Daphnia pulex: one gene and its partner. The protein of the gene in region 2 interacts with the protein of the main gene of each other region in a pairwise test. Links are inferred from orthologs where the notes say so. Each region holds a gene or a part of one and is shown on either strand. Other genes may lie near its edges.

Region 1 (10,003 bases), on a different chromosome or scaffold from region 2:
TCCCTTCTTTTACGAAAGATCGGCAAATTATAGCACAACAAGTAAACATATGAACGGGAAAATATCTTTACTGCAGGATAATTTGGCATTAAATATTAATACAAGTTAGCTACAAGATTACAAGACGATGAAAAAATTAACAAATTCAAACGACAGCTAGCTACCATAAAAAACGAAACGAAGAATAGCAGCTCAATCGAAGCCAAAAATATAATATCAAACTTCCGCAACCAGAAACCTCAAAAAGAAATTATGCCGAATAATTGCAGTAGATAATATTTGTAGGTTTCACAGAAGTATTCAAGGTAGAATCGAAATCTTACCGTTTAATTAATGCTAACAGCAACCTCGACATTCCAGCTTTTGAAGAGTATTGATTAACAAAAGAAATGATCTACAAAATTAGTAGCAAATTACTAGTAAACGTGACTGAGATACAACAACGTGATTCTAATGGACAACAGCTACCACAAAAACCGCCGAACTACTTAATTAAACTCTGAAAGTCTGAATATTAGAATGGACATTGGATTTTGGATTGTCGATCGATTGTATAGCCTTCAAGGCTTTCAACAGCTGTTTGGGAACGGAATTTGACATATTTACATTGGTTGCCTTTTTCTCCACTAGATGACGGCTGTTCCACAACAAAGAAAAACCAAAACATTATTATTGTTTTCAGCGTTTTCAGTCCTCAGTGTTGGGTTCGACTGAACGGAAATTACGTTTCAACAATATTGCAAAGTTCTTAATCTTAAGATGCTTGATTTAGAAGTAATCCCTGAGAGATCGTTGGGTTGCGAACATTGGGAGTTTATATTAGGTAAGGTTTAGAGGAAAAAATTCTCTGAGATTAGTAATCGTTTTTGGTTCTTGAATTGCAAAATATTCGTTATGCCATTGAGTGTACACAAGCATACGGAATCGCACAGTATACTTATATTGGTTTGTGTACTTTTCAATCTTCATTATAGGAATGCAGTTTTCTCAAGCAGTTTGCATCTGCATGTCTCAGGTAGCAGTTATGAAGAGAGTCCAAGTAATATATAATGAGAATGTAAGTAAAATCTTTTAGCATACACACACAAACTTCGTGAACATACATGTTATTTGCTGTATAGGACCCTTTGGCTTCTGACCTTATTTTAAGTCTTACTTTGGATGGAATTCGCCTTTTATTTGATTCAGTTTCACAGCGCCTAAAAGTGATTGAGATTTTTGCCATGAATCTCATCAAACTGAAATACTGGTAATAGTAAAAATATTTTAAAATTTAGACAAGATTAGGAGAAATAATCATGCCCTATTTTGATATAGTGGCCTGGTTTTCAATTCAACTGATGTTATCCCAACCATAGATCAAATAGATCATTCTTTTGGAGCTACACACCCTGGAATATATGATCCTGAGAAAAGAATCTTTACTCTAAATTTCCGTGGCCTATCTTTTACCTTTCCAGTTGAACAGGCTAGCGAACCGAGATACGTTCGAGGACTTGGATCGCTTCAATTCACCAACGGCGCGTCTCCTATAGCAACAAAGATGTTCATTTTCAGTGGAAACAGCTTGGTTGACAGCAAACCACCTTCGCTACCGATATCCTGCTTTTTTTCTCATCCTTATCTGCAATGGCTCGAAGTTATTCGTCATAATGGATGTACATCTGGTATCAAGCTCTCCATTATTTGTGAAGGTTCGGCTCAAACATTGATAAATTTAGAAACTAACTTTCAAATCAATGTAATTTTGCGTTTTAGGTCCATCTCAAGTATTGGAACCTAGACGACATGCCTGTGTCCAGGAATTATTTTTTGGAGCTTCTGCCGAAGATGTGCTTACGCTGTTGGGAGCTCCATCTCGCGTGTTTTATAAAGTAAAATGTGCAAATATATGTACATGCACTTTATAAATTTAATTCTTATCGTCGATGGTAGGACGAAGACAAAATGAGGATTCACAGTCCACAGGCGCATCGTCGAGCTCCAGCTTCTTTTTCGGATTATTTTTACAACTACTTCACTCTTGGATTAGTATACTTAAAATTATTCTAGATTTCATTTTTAAAAGTTTCATTACAAATTTCCCGTTTTAAAAAAGGATGCTTTATTCGATGGGAAATATCACAAGTTGAAGAAGTTCGTACTGCATACGAATTATCCAGGACATTACAATTTCAATATGTAAGTGAAACATTTTGCAGTGAATGCGTGGGAGCTGGTCAATGCTTAATTATTTTTTTTTAAAATTCTCTCTCAATTAGGTATCACCGATGTGAGTTTAAGCTCCAGTTGCCGACCAAGGCCACTTCCGTCGATAATTCGAGATTGGTCGATTTATCGCCGACATTTATCACTGTTGGTTTTCAATTCACATATATGTTCTTGCGTGAAACCAATGTCATAAATTATTTACGAATGTAGGTATCTGCTTATTCACGTTGGGATGAAGTTTGCGAGAAAGTGCAGCCTAGTTCACGTCCGATTGTTTTACATCGATCGTCATCGACGAATACAACAAACCCCTTCGGTTCTACGTTCTGCTACGGGGTTGAGGATATTATTTTCGAGGTGAATAACGATTTTTAGATTCCTAAAATACTGAAAGCTTTTAATGAATTTCTCTTTTTGAATGTAAGGTGATGCCAAATAACCTTATAGCATCTGTAACGCTTTACGCATCCGATGATATCTCGCATGAATTACAATCGTAAAAGGATATTAGTCCTATAATTGGAAAATTTTATTACCAATATAATATAAACAGGATTTTTGTATTTGCCCAGGAAACAGACTGACGCCATGAATTGATCTTAAGTGCGCATCTCTTTCGTGATTGTATGTTGTTTGAACGCAAAATAATGTAATAAAACACACTAAACATTAAGCACCAATTACTTTTCCAATGTTAATGTCTTATTCAAACATTCATATAGCTAGTTTGGAGTTTGGACTAGCCTATAAGACAATCAGTTATTGTGATGGCTGTGCGTTATGAGTTCAGGAGTAAAAAAAAAGAAGTTTGAATTGATTGTTCTGATAAAAGAGTAAATTGTAACAGTGTATATTGAAATATGTGTAGCACCCTTGTAAAATTTCGAAACATAGGGTAAAAGGTCTTTGCATGCCTCCATTTTTCACGATAACTCAGAAGTCAGAACGTTTGATTTATCGCATCATCAATCTAAAAAAATAAAATAAAATAAAATAACTTATATCATGAAACTAAATGCGTCTGGTTATTCTAGAATACCACGATGATGAATAAAGAATTAACGGTACAGAAAATAAAGGTCCAAGATAGGCTACATGTATAAACGAAATAACGTGCGCTCAATAAAAATGAAGTTGTTGAATAACAATACGACTGCTAAATATTTACTATTAACACAAATGCTATAATTAATAAACTGTTCTGTAATGTTGCCAACTATCCTATACATTCATCGCGGAAATATTTTCTACAATTTGGTGACGTAGGCTAATAAGTATGGGTTATGTCGATTTGAGGACAAACCTGACTACAATGACAATAAATTACTCGTACCCTCGTAAACTTCCCGTTTACGCCCAAAAAAGAATCTGAACATATAAAGTTGCAGAAGTGAATGATAAGCTAAATAATCACTCACTTTTACTAACATCAATTTTTGTTCATGGTTAAATTCTATTTCCGTATTCTATTTTCTGGATTGTCAGGGAAAAAATATTGGAAACATGTTAAAAAAGTCGAATAGAATAGGGCAGGCACACTTTACCTCTACGACAATGCGCTGGCATAACAGACCTTCTAAAATGACTCATTTTATCTTGATTATATCGCTTTATCTTTACACGACAGATACGAAATAGATGCCCTATTGCTGTAGTTTGTTTACAGTGCGTTGTGTGCTATTACGAAAAGTTCCGTTGCTGTGTACGATTGATGCTGATCCTTGAGCAACAATATTATCAAGCAATCAGATCGCACACAAGGTGTTATACTGATTCACACAGTAGTTATATCACAGTAAAATAACATTTCATATGCAAGTTTATTCAAAAGGGAGAAGAGTTCAATCAACTGCCAGGAAAAATCAAGATATTGGCTGTTACAGAATCTCTATATGAGCAAAGAAACATACACAAACAGCAATAAGGAAGTGGTAAATTTAGTAGCTTAGGTATATTAGCTGAAACTTATACGCGGGTGTTGAGGACCATTTGAAGAAAATGTTCATATCCGATAGTAATGACACCGTCTTGATCGGTATCGAATTGACGAAACGCTGAAGTCAAGTTCTGTCATTGAAAACAATATAGATATATGAAAAAATGATACTTTCATTTAAATCATAGATATGTAAAAATCTTTCTTACATGTAAAACGATGCAACACTGAATGAAATCATCAAAATATATCGTTCCTTTTCCCATACGATCGAATTTTCGAAGCAACATATGATGAGTTCCGTCTTGCAAACGATAGCCGAAACCTATATTAACACAAAAGAACACTTAGTATATTTAAAAATTGTCAGCCAACTTTAATGACAAACTACTTGTAAGTGCTGTTCTTAGTTCATTGCCATCAATGTTCCCCGAATTATCTCTGTCAAAACTTCTAAAGCAAGTTTGCCAATCAGTGACATACTTCCAGATTGCTCCAAAATCTTCAAAGGAAATAGTTCCTCTTTGTTGACGATCAAACATACCTGTAGTAGTGCACAATTCAAAACGGAACATTAGTACAAAGGGATACAAAATTATCATTAATGCCTCTCATACAGCTGTCAAACACATACCAATCATAAGTCTAACAGTTTCCGAGTTAAATGGAGCCCATGTTCCATTGGATAGAGCTGATTGCAGCTCTTCGGCAGTTATTGCTCCACTTCTATCTTTGTCAACTCTAAAAATTTCAATAAATATATTTTAGTTGTAATTTTCTCCCTGAATTTAACCCACAACAAAATTGTTTAACCTTTGAAACACCTGCCAAAGAAAATCACGATTTGGAGCAGCTGGAACCGCACCCGGCCCTTGATAGTGCTGATAAGCCATTGTGTAGACTAAACGCGACTAAACGTTTATAAATAGAATTCACTCAAGTACAATACGTTTTTTAAACTGCCCGATACCAAAGGGTGTTATTAATAAGTAAAGGGATTTTTTTGTAGTGGCCAACAGTCAACTTAATTCACTGAGTTGCACTGAATCAACTTGATGTCTCAATCATTGATGACTCAACACTCAACAGTCAATCCAAGTCCAAAGTCGAAACCCATGAGCCATGACTGCTGTAAAATAAAGACAGGAGTCTTGGACGATAATCGACGATCCGTATGTTTAGGGCTGTGGCCCGGGACGTTTTTAGCGGGTTTTTTTTCAATGGGTTTTTTAGATGGGTTTTTCTTCTTCCGCGGGTCGGAGCGGGTTGGGCCAACTGAGTGAACGGGTTTGGCCCGGGCCAACCCATGGGTCAAAAAATTTTTACCGGTCGGGTAACGGCCCGGGTAAAAAATCGGGTCAAACACACTTTTTTTTTTACAAACTTAAAAAAATTCCCTAAATTTCTTAATTATCTTCTTCTTCTAACAGTGACACGTCAATTCTGTCTTCTGAACACCCCTGAACGCCCTTTTCTACCACTTATCCTACTTTTCATGCTACGAAATTATCGTAGAGCATTTGGCGGCAATATTTTGAGGCCGCAGGCATAGAGAATAACGAGCTTCTCTATGTGACTACTAGATGGCGCCACCGCTCGGGTTGGCCCGCGGTACCGGGAGTTCAACCCGTCGCCCGCCCCGTTAAAAAAAATGCCTCGATGGGTCGAGTCGGGTTGGGTTTTTTTTCGTTCAGCCCGGGCGGTGGCCCGGGTTTTCATCGCCCGGGCCACAGCCCTATATGTTGGCTCTATAATTTTTTTGTGGGTAAATCAGATTTTACAAAAAAAAAAAAATAGTTATTGGCTTGCTAAATGTTTCTATTACTGATAATTAATATAACGAGAAATTTAAGTATTTGTTCAGAAGAATTTGAAAAAGGGAGAAACGCCGGTGCCATCTAGGTGCCAAACATACTGAAAACCAGTTTACGCGATCGATTAGTTTATCACGATTGATCGCTTATTTTTTTCTGATCAAGAGGAAGCGGTTGACCTAAAGACCACTAATTATAAAGACCCGTGGTCTTTATCTATGACATCACACCAATTTTTCAATTTATAGAGCGTGATCGAGATCGAATCGATAATCAAATGCTAAAAAAAAAGTACGCTAAAAAATCGAGTACGCTACAGTTCGAGTCCATCCGCTATCAATCGAGTACACCACAAGTCCACAAGTTATAAACAATTTTGTTATAAATAATGGTAATAGTTTCATCAACAATAGGGTAGAAGGCCTAGAAGCATGAAAAATAATTAATTTTTGTTTTGAATCCTCCTTATAGATGTTATTCCAACCAAAAAGTAGTAGACATGCCAAAAAGTCGTGCGCAGTTTACGCCGGTGCACACCACTGCGGGTCTGCGGCCGATAGCAGAACGACAATTTTTATTACGCTTGACAGATGACGTAGGTACAATCCTTTGTTCGAGAAGCAGACAGTTCTGGAACAAAGGATTGTACCTACGTTAAGTGTCAAGCGTAATAAAAATTTCATTCTGCTATCGGCCGCAGTGGTGCGCATCGGCGTAAACTGCGCACGACTTTTACTCAGAGATAAGGAGATGGGCCACTCTGTGTAAAGTCCAGTAGTCGACTTTTTCCCCCCTCCTCCTCCTTTTCGACTGCCCTGCTCCTTTCGGCGAGCTCCGGAAGCATTTCCCAGTAGTTCTCCCCCTTCAGGACCGCCCCTACCACCAAGTAAGGTAAAGCTTCCGGAGCTCGCCGAAAGGAGCAGGGCAGTCGAAAAGAAGGAGGAGGGGAAGTCGACTGCTGGACTTTACACAGAGTGGCCCATCTCCTTATCTCTGCTTTTACTCGACTACTACTTTTAAGTTGGAATAACATCTATACAACTTTTTTTTTACTCTCCTTTGCGCCCCTTGCGGAAACCAGCTTAGTTCCACTAAATATGAAGGCCGATATGACTTCTATGGGTCTAAAATGAAGGCCAACAGATAAAACCTTCTGCTTGCTTCCGGAAGGAGCGCGGCAGTGAGAACAAAATATGGGTGCCAGGCAGAGAGGGAAAAGGGAAAAATGAGCCTCTCAGGAAATTAGTCATATCTCAACCAATAAAATCCGGAAAGAAAATTCCTTTTGGATTTTAATGGTTGAGATAGCAATAAACCTTTCTATAAAATAAGTTTCTGCTATAGCCCCTATACCTTTCAGAAAAGCGATGTCAAAGTACCCCCCATTTCTGATAAATAAAAAAAAACTCAAACTTTAACGCTTAATATCTCGTAAACGGGTGGGAATTTCGTCTTTCTGCAAACGCAAGTAAATCCGGCGTGTAGAGACAAAAATGACAACATATATTTTTTATATTTCAAATTCCTTTTCCGGATATAAATCTGGAAAGCTGCTCCGGGATTTCGGTCTACCTGAGTCATGGATCGCTTGTTAAACATGAAAATCATTTTGTCAAAATGTTAAGGGTTTTTGGTTTCTAGAAGAGTTATGACCCATGTGAGGATCGATCCATTGATATACGCCATTCCAGGCCATTTCTCTACCACCAAGATACGGATAATTTTTTTTATAACGCAATATGAGTCCCGTTCCTTCGGGGGTTTATTTACATCATTTATTACTACAACTAATTTTAAAATTCTGAAATTGGCATCAATGTCCAAAGTGCAGACGACGGGAAGTGTTGGATTGTTGTTGCGTAGTGCTAACAACGTGCGTCACCAAACAGTGAAATAATATCAGACAACTTTAATGGCGTCGTCTCAGAGAAATGGGAAATTTCGTGAGTTTCGCGGGTTGACAACTACTTCGAAACTTTTCTCGGAAATTCGATTTAAATGTTTTCCAAAAAATCCCTCATTCCCTCCTACATAATATATTACCTCCGGTTCGTCACCAGTAACAGAAAAATTATTTTCCTTTTGCCCAATTAATGAGTGAGTGTTAATGATTTGACCCGCGGAAAAAATTACGTGGAATTAAACTATTGTTAAAATATTATGGAAAAACCAATTGTGGTGGAAATTTTAATTATTATTTTTAGCATTAAGAGCAATTTAACTACAATGAAGTTCGTTTACTGCTTCTCTGCCTTTTTAACAAGCTTCTAAAGGTGCGTTTACACTGGAAGGAACGCAACGTTAATTACGGAGTATAGCGAAACTTTGTGTGACGGAGGAATCTGCAATAAAAAGTTTCGCTACACACACAAACACTACTAATAATATTATAAGATTTTTCTGTAAGCTCTCCTGACATGATAAGATGTACGCGAAGTCAAACCCGTTTTCTCAAGGTATACATAGAATATAACAATATAAGTGATATATAGATTGGTTGGTGTAATGTTTAGAAGAGTTCTAACTTGCTATAGACCTTTTTCCATTTGGTTCGGGTAAGTAGAGCGAAAAGTCGTGCGGCTAGTCGACTAGTGCGCACCATGGCGGGGGATAGCCGAAACTTGCTGCAGACTTTGCTTGATCCGGTCAATACCCCACGTAAGGCCATGTACTGTAACCTGTCAGGCTGTAACCCGAACCAAATGGAAAAAGGTCTATAGTACTATAAGACGAAGGTTCTTGGAGCAGATTCTTGGAGTTGGAATCAAAACGGAAAAGCAGCTGCATGTACGACTTAGTTGGATGCTTATAGACATCCAGTTTTATTGACCATTACAGCGACTACGACGAACTAAGCGGCTACCTCAGAACCATCGACAGCAACATCGTGTGCTGTGGAATGAATCCTGCAACAATGCTCCGTTACAAAAGTTGGTGATGTTGGTCGGTTAACACGTTCTAGCTGCTTCTAGCACATTAGAAAAGTGAGCTTTGCACGGGATGGTCTAATGCGTTGGAATACTCGTGGAAGGGATCCCTAAATAAAAAGAAGAGATTTGCGTGGAATATAGTTCCTTCGAATCAAATCATAATAAATAAGGTCTGGTTATTTAAAAAAAAGTCAACTTTTCCTTTGTCATGGACAACATTTTGGCTTCCACAATTGAACTTTAGTGTTGGCCTTGGAAAACACTATCGTTTCCAAATTTTTACAAGTTGTACCACCTTATTTTATTTTTATGTGTAGCTTTTTAGTTGCTTTATAGGTTGTTATAGTATTATTTATTTTTATAAAAAATTTTCAGGAGATGCTATCTGATCAGAGAGTGAAAATAGAAAGGAAAAAGAGCTCATAATGATCTGTTGCGTTAAAAAAAATCCTACTGAATCAGATCTTAAATGAACAACTACGCTCGTATATTTCTAATCCCCTATGTCAGTTAAAAAAATCAGGAATGAAAATGACTTTTGTCATTGACGGAATTAGAAACCCCTATGAACGACACGAAGTTAAGTAATTCTAAAATAAAAGTATCAAATTTCATTTACAACCATTTTTACTACCAAATTTCTTAGGTGATTTATTTTACTTTGTTTATTTTACTTCCCGAATATGAACAATAGCTAATTGCCTCTAGCATATACCAAGAAGAAGAAAAACATTTTATAAGATGAATTTAAATTAGTATCTTTCTGCTCTCTTTCTTCAGTTATTGTTACCAATTAGAATACAAATGGACATTGGCTTGGAATATGGAGCCTTCGTGGCCACTCCTCCCCACGAACTCATATTAGCAAACAATGAATATCTTCAAATATGGAACTTATAATAAATTAAATGTTTCCAAAAGTTAGAAGCCCTTTGAAAAATAAAATCTTGATAAACTTTGATACAAAAATCTAAGATTAATTTTGTAAAAAAAAATTATACGAGGGAAAAGAATGGGATTAAACTATAACAGTTTGCACGACGGAGAATTATATAGAATGCAAACTACCGTTGAATGTTGATTTCTGAGGAAAGCTCCATAGGCTCCTTTGT
Region 2 (9,061 bases):
AGGCGTTTGATCAAACGGAGTTCTTGTTACTTTTTGACAGAATTTCAATAGCTGTTAGAGCAGACGATAATACAGAGACATGTGACAGGATGACAGCATCGTCTCTATTGAATATGACCAGCATGACCCAGGATCGAAGAAAAAGCGTAGAGTACCGCCGTTGATTGTTGGACCATCTCTAGCCTGTCTTATTTTTCTTTTCAAAATTATCATCCTGTTGGAGTAATATTGTAGGCTTATGATAGAATAGAAGTCACTGTATGTTATTACCTAACCGCACCTAACGCTATCAATCTCCAGTAAAAGAAGTGCTGATAGGTAGTTACTTACATTTAATTTTAACAACATCCGGTGTGACGTGGGGTGGCGGGGCGAAGCCTCCGCCGCACCAAAGTCACGCCTTACCCTTACGCCGCGCCATATCATATTAGGTTTTTGGGAATTGAATTTGTATTAAATGTTTGGATAGAAACATGCGGAAATATGCTTTTCATCTCTTTCTCGATTTCTGCATATTACATTCTTCCGGAAACTAAGGGCATAACATTTTTGTTTTAAATATTATTAATTAATCTTAATAATAGGCCTACCTTTATAACAGAATATTATTTTTATTCTATAACTATTCTATAGCTCTGCCTTTATAAAACTATACCAATACAGCAATTCTACTATTCCAACTAGTATACCCTTAACATCCCCTTCGGGTACCTTGCGGCGTACGTACGCTGCCTACAGTGGTATCTATTACCATATCAGAGAAAACGTTGTGATCTTGTTTGAATTTATTATTACGGTCCTGGTGTAACATAGATGGAGCGTCGGTCGTTCAGACGATTGCCAGTTTTATTGTTTTGATTTTTCGAAATCGACTAATCGAGATCTGTGCCGGGCTGCCGGCCTTGAATCAGTGTCGGATCGGTTACATTTTACATGGCAGACACACGTAATTTACATAATCATCGTCATCACCTTCAATGTCAAATGAGTGTCTGATGGTTGGTTTCAGAACAGTCCGTTAATTTTAAATACTCTAACTGTTGACTTTTGTAAACAGTGGATGGCGTTTGTACGGTTTCCATGAGGTTCCAGCATGTTAGAACCACTCCTACACATCATGACACAAGTGGTTTCCATAACACCCAAGTTCTCTTTTGTCATATTGCATCCAGAACATTGCTTGGTCGGTTGATGGAAATGAGTAAAGACAAGGAAATATCATCAGCATCTTTTTGTAGAGTTGGTAGAGTGGAAGACTGGATTGAAGGACGAAGGTATGTAACATTAATTGCTGTAAGTTGTAACATATTGTTGAAAAGTTTATTTGTGGATTCTCAGTAGGGTTAAATTTTGGGCATTGCTATGTAACATTTAGCAAACTGATGTGAATGTAATCTAAAACAAATTTAAAGGGTAAACAAACACTTTGACGATAAGAATAATTTACACATAGGATCATAATTGATTTTGGAATTACAGAATTTAATCAAATGCTGCTGAATAACTGCATTCATTAATATTTGTGATAAAGGTTGGTACACATTCTTATCAAGTCAAAAGTAAAGAATGAATTAAAAAGTTCTGATGTGTTCCAAGTATAAATTATCCGTAACAAGGAAAACGGTGCGGTATGAAAACAGGAAGTAGAATTCTACTATTTGCGTTCCAGACTTCACGAGGAAATTTCCGTCTTAGAGTACAAGCCAACAACAAGTCGGATTCGGTCGGATTTTACCTGTTTTCTTTGTCACTGTTTGGTTTTCCTTTCCCGTTTTGTTTTCGTGAATGCGACTTGTAGCCCTCTATAGCAGGTAGAAAACTTACACTCGCGACGCTAGTTGAGTTTGTTCACTAGCCGCGTTAGAGTTTCTCTTCTACTCTGTGTACACTTTTTATATGATTTTCATAAATAACCGACGTTCATTTTAAATTACTTTGAAGCAGGTAATTATCTCATTTCTACTTAGGATTGATTTCTTATTTTGGTGAGATAATTTCAGAATTGTCATTAAAAGTTTTAAACTTGTTTTTTCTAAACCTTAAAAGAAATTTATCTCATATAAATTGTAGCCTATAGATAAGAGCGTTGAATGTTGAAGCAACAACCTTAGAATATTTCTTGTCTAAAATTAATTGTAATATTAAATGATTTTATTATCTGGACAAAATTTTATCGACTATTTGTTTTTCTGCAGCACTTAAAACAACACATCCGCTTCACGCAGCATTACAGGGCTGTTTTCAGACTTTAATATTCAGCATTAAAAAATGGGCGAAGTAAGCATACTGATTATATTGTAAATTTGTCAAATAATTTGAACTCGAAACTTCATTTTCAGAATATTCCTACTATATTTCCGGCTTCATCGTTTAATCCCCGAGCTGATGCTGATGCGCTTCAGAAAGCAATGAAAGGTTTCGGTACGGACGAAAAAGCTCTGATAAGTATTCTGTGCCATCGCACCTGTGACCAGCGCGCGTCAATAAATCTTGCCTACAAGGCAGGCTATGGAAAGGTTATTTGGCAACAATATGTATAATTTTTTTTTTTTTTTTTTAATTTGAGCTCGTAATGTAAAAATTAGGATCTGGAGTCGGCATTAAAGAGCGAATTAAGCGGTTGTTTTGAAAAGTTAATGGTTGCCCTCTGCCTTCCTATAGCTGAATTTATGGCACGTGAAGTTCATCATGCTATCAGTGGAATGGGGACCAATGAAGATACGCTCATTGAAGTTCTTTGTAGCGGGACTAACCAGGAGATTCGCGAAATGAACGCTGCCTACCAACGATGTGAGAATTAGAAATCGACAGGTTTTATTACGTTCTAGATTGTTATTTGTGGCTAAATTTTTCGTCAAGTGTACGGGCACTCTATGGAGAAGGATATCAAGGGAGATACTTCTGGTGAATTTGAATTGCTTCTCGTTTCAATGGTCCAGGTGAAGTTCTTGCTGATTTAATGTTCTCCGTTATTCGATTTTATATGTCCTGAGTTTATTTTTTTGTATTTAATTTAATTGTAGGGTCAAAGAGATGAGAATCAAGCGGTTGATGTTTACGAGGCTAGAGCGGATGCCCATCTTTTGTTTCAAGCAGGTAATTTTATTAACTGCATTTCTGTATATCAAGTGATCGATAACTTATAGCCTCTGTCAGTTAAAATATCCGCTTTATTTATTTCCAGGAGCGGCTAAGATAGGAACAGATGAAAGTGTTTTTCATTCTATCCTTGCTTCTCGCAGTTGGCCTCATTTACGTCAGGTTATTTCCGAGTATCACAATATGCACGGCCACACTTTGGAACGTGCTTTGAAGGCGGAGTTTTCGTTCAACGCAGAGAGGGGTCTTTTAACAATATGTAAGTGTCACAGCTTCCTACGAAATTCCTACTTCTTGCATGACTTCACAATATTGTTAACATTCTGCCAGTGCAATGTGCCAAAAACAGACATGAATATTTCGCTCATCGCCTACATCACGCCATTGATGGATTGGGCACAAACGAGTATGACCTAATCTTTATTGATTTTTCACTGAATTTAATTGACATATATATTTTACTTATTCAGTCGTAACCTTATTCGTATAATCGTTGGTCGTTGTGATGTTGATCTCAACAACATAAAACAAGAGTATGAAAGGAAATTCAGCCGTAGTCTTCAAGCTGATCTTTCGGTACTGAAATGCTTTTACTTTTCTTTTCAATAAACTTTGAAAGAAAATTACGATTTCTTCGTAGGGCGATTCTTCAGGTGATTACCGAAGGGCACTTCTGGCTCTTCTCGGCTGAAAATGTAATAGGAAACTATATTCTTTACATTTGAGTTATATCTGAGTTATCTTTAATACTTCCATAACAAAAAATTTCTTTCATTATAATCATGTTTATGGAATAATTGTTGCCGAAATAGTTACAATTGTTTAAGAATAATAAGTGTCTTAAATCTGTTTCTTTAATTTGCTAATTCTTGACTAAATATGCAGTAAACGCACTGTGATTTGGGAAGCCACTCGGGCATTATAGATTATAGTTCTGGGTAATATTTGATTAGCCTACACCTTCGTCTCAATGAGCACAGATCAGTTTCTCCGGAGTGAAATCTACAGCGTTTATAGGAATGAAGAGTTGCCTCAAAAATGTTAAAAAATCTTTCCTTGACGTAATCGGAACGGACTACCAATTGAATTTCTGAACGAAAAATAATTTGTAAATTCTTTTCCGTGATTTGATATTTCGATCAAAATTAAAGTTCTTAAAGTAAAGTAAGATATAATCTAGTTCGTAAGTTAAATATAATATGACACTTTTTAGTTAAAGCATGGTTAAAGAACATCACTCATTCACCGAAGAAACGCGTTAAATTACTCAAATGTCAATTGGTAAAAAAGAGAGTTTAAGCCATAACCATTTGATATTCATTTTGATATTGGTTACCCTACCCAGCAACGCCAACCTAAAGAAGGAAAGGCCAGTTTGCATGTCCTTCACATTCGAAGGTTACGGAGATCATTACGTAAAACGTGTCATGCAGTGGGGTAGAGGTTGGGTGAGAACGACACGTGTTACATAGCTATTTGGTATTCATTTTGATATTGATATTTTGATATACCCATCCCCAGCAACATCTACCTAAAGAAGGAAAGAAAATTTTCCTTCACTTCCGAAGGTCACGGAGATCATTACTTAAAATGTGTCATGTGGTGTAGAGGTTGGGTGAGAACGGGACGTTTTCATAATTATCAGGCAGGTACAATAGCCGCAAGGCTTAGGAGGGGAATGGTGAGAAAAAATCGTATAAAAGGAGAGAGAAAAGGCGAAGCAAAATCAGTCGATTTTGCTGTACCGATATTGATGTTTTCAATAACAATGTGACTCACGCCATCATCCTAGCAGCCAGCAACCACATCCCAGTCGTGCGACAAGGACACCACAAGCCGGGCGTCCCATGGTGGAATGCAGCGTGTGCAGACGCCATCAAAGAAAAAGAAAAGGCCTGGGTGAGAGCAAACGCATCAAGAAATCCAGACGACTACAAAATATACAGCACTTTACGTAACAAAAGCCGATCGGTGATGCGAAACGCGAAGAAAGAGCACTGGCGAGCTCACTGTAGCACAATAAACAAGAACACAACGTCCCGTGATCTCTGGGAAAAAACCAACCAAATGCTGGGGCGAAACAACAAAACAAAACCGATCTCGGTGCTACTCGACAAAAATGGGACGTGTGTTACGGAGTCATCAGCAAAAGCCAACCTATTTGCAAAGCATTACAAAGCAGTGAGTAGTGACACCAACCTATCAGAATCCTTTCTCCAACACCGCCGAATTTCCGAACAGTCCATGGAAGATGGTGAAGCGGACGAGCCGGACGGACGGATAGAAGACGCAGAAATGAATGCAGATTTCTCAATGCAAGAGCTGACGACCGCCCTAAAAGAAGCAAAAGATACAGCAGTGGGAAGCGACCGAATATCTTTATCAATGCTACGCCACCTACCGGATACAGCCCTACGTACGCTACTGGCCCTGTACAACGAGTCCTGGAAACAAGGCACGCTACCGAAAGGATGGAAGCACTCGCTGATCATCCCCTTGTTGAAGCCAAACAAAACTGCATCGAAACCGGAGTCATACCGGCCGATCTCGCTTACCCCGGTGCCATGCAAGGTCCTGGAGAGAATGATTAAAATCAGACTCTCTTGGTACCTTGAGAAAAATCTCCTCCTCGCCCCAAATCAAAGTGGTTTCCGACGAAACAGAGGGACTATGGACAATTTAGTGAGGCTCGAAAATTCGGTCCAATCAGCCCTAAACAACAAAGGATATGTGATGGCAGTCACGCTCGATCTTGAAAAAGCCTACGACATGATCTGGATAAAAGGACTAATTTACAAGCTCAAAAAGCTCAGCATAAGAGGCAACATGCTCAAGTGGATTACCTCCTTTTTGGTCGGTCGGACAGCACAAGTATCGTTAAATGGAACTCGGTCCGAGCTCTTCTCCTGCCTAAACGGCACACCACAAGGAAGTGTCATCAGCCCGTTATTGTTCATCATCCTCATTAACGACATTGCCAAGAAACGCCGCTCCTGTATGTCGGGAATGTACGCCGATGACATTTTCATCTGGCAGAAGCACCGAAACTTACACTTCCTGAGAAAAAAGGTAGAAAAGGACACACAAGATGTTATCGTCGAGCTCAGACTATGGGGCTTCCTAGTTTCGGCAGCAAAAACCGGAGAAATAGTTTTTTCCAAGCGGAATATACCCGAAAATTTGAGCATCACAGTAGACGGAGCTAGCATCCAAGTGCAAAAGTCAATCAAACTACTGGGCATGACACTCGACAGCAAACTAAATTGGTGCAAACAAATAGACGACGTCGTCAGCAAGTGCTCAAAAGTTTTAAATTTACTACGCCTCATATCTGGAACGAAATGGGGCGCACACGCAAAGCCCATGCTACAAATCTACCAGGCTCTGATCCGCTCAAAACTCGACTATGGAGGAGAACTCATCGAGTCCGCCTCTATCACAGCAAAGAAAAAACTGGACAAAATCCAAGCACAAGCGCTGAGAACAGTGGTGGGTGAGCCAAGGGACACTGCAACAGAGGCCCTGCTACGAGAGACGGGCGAAATGCCCTTGCACCTTAGGAGAAATCTCGCCAGCGTCAAACATTATTTAAGGTGCTACGAGGTGAAGTCTGACCTGCTAGCAGAAAAAGAAGAGTGGTTCAAAAACGCCGAGCAGTGTTTTCTCTCCAGAGTCGAGTCCGTTACAAACACCTTGGACCATCATCCTAAATCAGTCGAGAAATTATCCATCAGCAAGCACCCGCCATGGCAGGCTTTGCTTCCGGAAGTCACGACGTACACACCAAACGACCTGAAATGGCAAAATGTGGTCCACATTTACACAGACGCAGCAAAATCAAAAGACGGGCGATGTGCTGTTGCCTTTGTGGTACCAGAGAAAGTCATCGTTGAGCAGAAGCGTCTGGTGGACGGTTTGGCGACAGCAAAGTGTGAACTCGTAGCAATACACCTGGCAGTAAAGTGGGCAGAAGCACACGCAACACTGGGGAGCTTTGTTATCCTAACAGACTCAAAAAAGGCATTGCAAATACTCCACTCAAGTAGTGAAAACAACAGTGTCAAAACAAGCACCGTGGACACCTGGCGAGCACTCTCCAGAGCTGGCACAACTGTCAGTTTTTCGTGGGTAAAAGGACACAGTGGAATATCCGGCAACGAGCAAGCTGATCGTGCTGCCAAAAATGGGCTGGAGCTAAAACCTAGCCTCAGCTGCAGAAGAGACACAAACGACATCCGTGAAAACGTTGAAGACCTCCTCCTGAAAAAATGGCAAGGCCTCTGGGACAAGCCGAAAACGGAATGTGGACTTTTCACCCACAGACACAGTCCAGTCGTGTCAAGAATCGCCTCCCTGTTCGGCCAGTCAAGAAGTGAGCAAGTGTTCTTATCGCAGATTCGCCTCGACATGCTGCCGCTAAACTATCGTCTGTTCAAACGCAAAAAACATCCGACCGGTCTCTGCTGCAACTGCGACGCCGAAGAAAAAGAAAATGTCGAACATGTACTGCTGGCCTGCCCGGCGTACGCAAAGGAGCGAGAAGAAATGGTGTACGTAGTGAGCGAAAACACTCCCACACTGCAAGAGCTGCTAAATTTCAACGACGAGGTAACTCTCAAAGCCGTTTTGGACTTCTTTAATGCCATAGGCATCAAAGCCCGACTCGGTTTCTAGCAAGAGAAACCAAAAACCTAAAGCCGGTGCCCAGCTTTCTCCCTAAAACGCATGTGCAAGTGGCGTAAATAGGCCTGCCGGCCTGGAAACGTCAAACCCCCATCCCCAAAAAACCAACCAACCGAAGCAAAATCAGTCAAGTGAGCGTCTCCGACACGGCAACAACTGCAGCGTACCATCTGCTTTCTTCATCCTTATTACAGCAGTTCACATCAATCATTGGTAAATATGCATTTTTATTTATAGTCGTGAATCAGTTCTACCTCGTGTCTAGCTGTTGATAAAACTGTTATAATTTTAAAATTGTTTATTGTACTGATAACTATAACGTTATGTTGGGAATCATTGATGGCTTGGTCGACCACGAGAGGAAATCGTATAAAAGGAGAGAGAAAAGGCGATCGTTATCAGTCGAGCGGGCATCGAGCATCTCCAACACGGCAACAACTGCACTGCCCTATCACTGCATTCCTCATCGTGTAACCAAATCGCAATCATGGGTAAATATTCTGTTTTCTACATTGAGTTTTATATGAATCCTACTTTTTTCTATTTATTAATATGCCATCGAAAATTAATGTTTAAACTTATTCCTTGTTTAGCTAACGTCGTGCTGCTGTTGGGCGTTGTATGGCTGGGTCGACCACTGGTGTACCGATGTCTCCAGGGTATAGCGGATACCAAACCGCAACGCTGCTGCCTTACTACACAACAACAACTTTGACGACCAGTTACTACACCGAGGCCCCCAGGTACTACACCACTAAGGCACCGGAGTATGATACCATAACTTACGCTTCCCCGAGTTACTACACCGATGCCCCGAATTATTACTCTGCCTCGAACTTCACCACCAAGGCAGCGGAGTACTACACGACTACGTATGGTGCTCTATCTTACTACACCGAGGCTCCCAAGTACTACTGTGATACCAGCTACTACACCGAGTCTCCAGCTACTACACCGAGTCTCCAGCTACTACACCGAGTCTCCAGCTACTACACCGAGTCTCCAGCTACTACACCGAGTCTCCAGCTACTACACCGAGTCTCCAGCTACTACACCGAGTCTCCAGCTACTACACCGAGTCTCCAGCTACTACACCGAGTCTCCAGCTACTACACCGAGTCTCCAGCTACTACACCGAGTCTCCAGCTACTACACCGAGTCTCCAGCTACTACACCGAGTCTCCAGCTACTACACCGAGTCTCCAGCTACTACACCGAGTCTCCAGCTACTACACCGAGTCTCCAGCTACTTCTCGACCAAAACGGTTATACTACACCG

What was found.
Region 1: the proteins of annexin B9-like (region 2) and programmed cell death protein 6-like interact in binary tests that used the Homo sapiens proteins (3 or more experiments, as listed by UniProt). The link is inferred for Daphnia pulex from reciprocal best matches to the Homo sapiens genes ANXA11 and PDCD6.

What each region holds. Positions count from the first base shown.
Region 1 is NC_060019.1:5,643,761-5,653,763, reverse strand, and holds programmed cell death protein 6-like, read right to left. Parts: upstream 5,317-10,003; 5' UTR 5,041-5,316; coding exon 4,961-5,040; intron 4,889-4,960; coding exon 4,782-4,888; intron 4,692-4,781; coding exon 4,539-4,691; intron 4,473-4,538; coding exon 4,357-4,472; intron 4,279-4,356; coding exon 4,177-4,278; 3' UTR 4,013-4,176; downstream 1-4,012. Other genes in the region: PHAF1 protein CG7083-like, read left to right, coding at 760-823, 975-1,057, 1,122-1,249, 1,318-1,694, 1,759-1,874, 1,936-2,031, 2,099-2,181, 2,262-2,355 and 3 more. UniProt on the Homo sapiens protein: Calcium sensor that plays a key role in processes such as endoplasmic reticulum (ER)-Golgi vesicular transport, endosomal biogenesis or membrane repair.
Region 2 is NC_060024.1:10,610,408-10,619,468, forward strand, and holds the end of annexin B9-like, read left to right. Parts: exon of another isoform or gene 1-749; intron 750-881; exon of another isoform or gene 882-998; intron 999-1,057; 5' UTR 1,058-1,274; intron 1,275-1,338; exon of another isoform or gene 1,339-1,341; 5' UTR 1,342-1,413; intron 1,414-1,479; 5' UTR 1,480-1,531; intron 1,532-1,596; 5' UTR 1,597-1,944; intron 1,945-1,960; exon of another isoform or gene 1,961-1,985; intron 1,986-2,195; 5' UTR 2,196-2,268; coding exon 2,269-2,277; intron 2,278-2,339; coding exon 2,340-2,516; intron 2,517-2,585; coding exon 2,586-2,790; intron 2,791-2,859; coding exon 2,860-2,939; intron 2,940-3,023; coding exon 3,024-3,096; intron 3,097-3,184; coding exon 3,185-3,358; intron 3,359-3,429; coding exon 3,430-3,505; intron 3,506-3,569; coding exon 3,570-3,675; intron 3,676-3,739; coding exon 3,740-3,790; 3' UTR 3,791-3,952; downstream 3,953-9,061. UniProt on the Homo sapiens protein: Binds specifically to calcyclin in a calcium-dependent manner. Required for midbody formation and completion of the terminal phase of cytokinesis.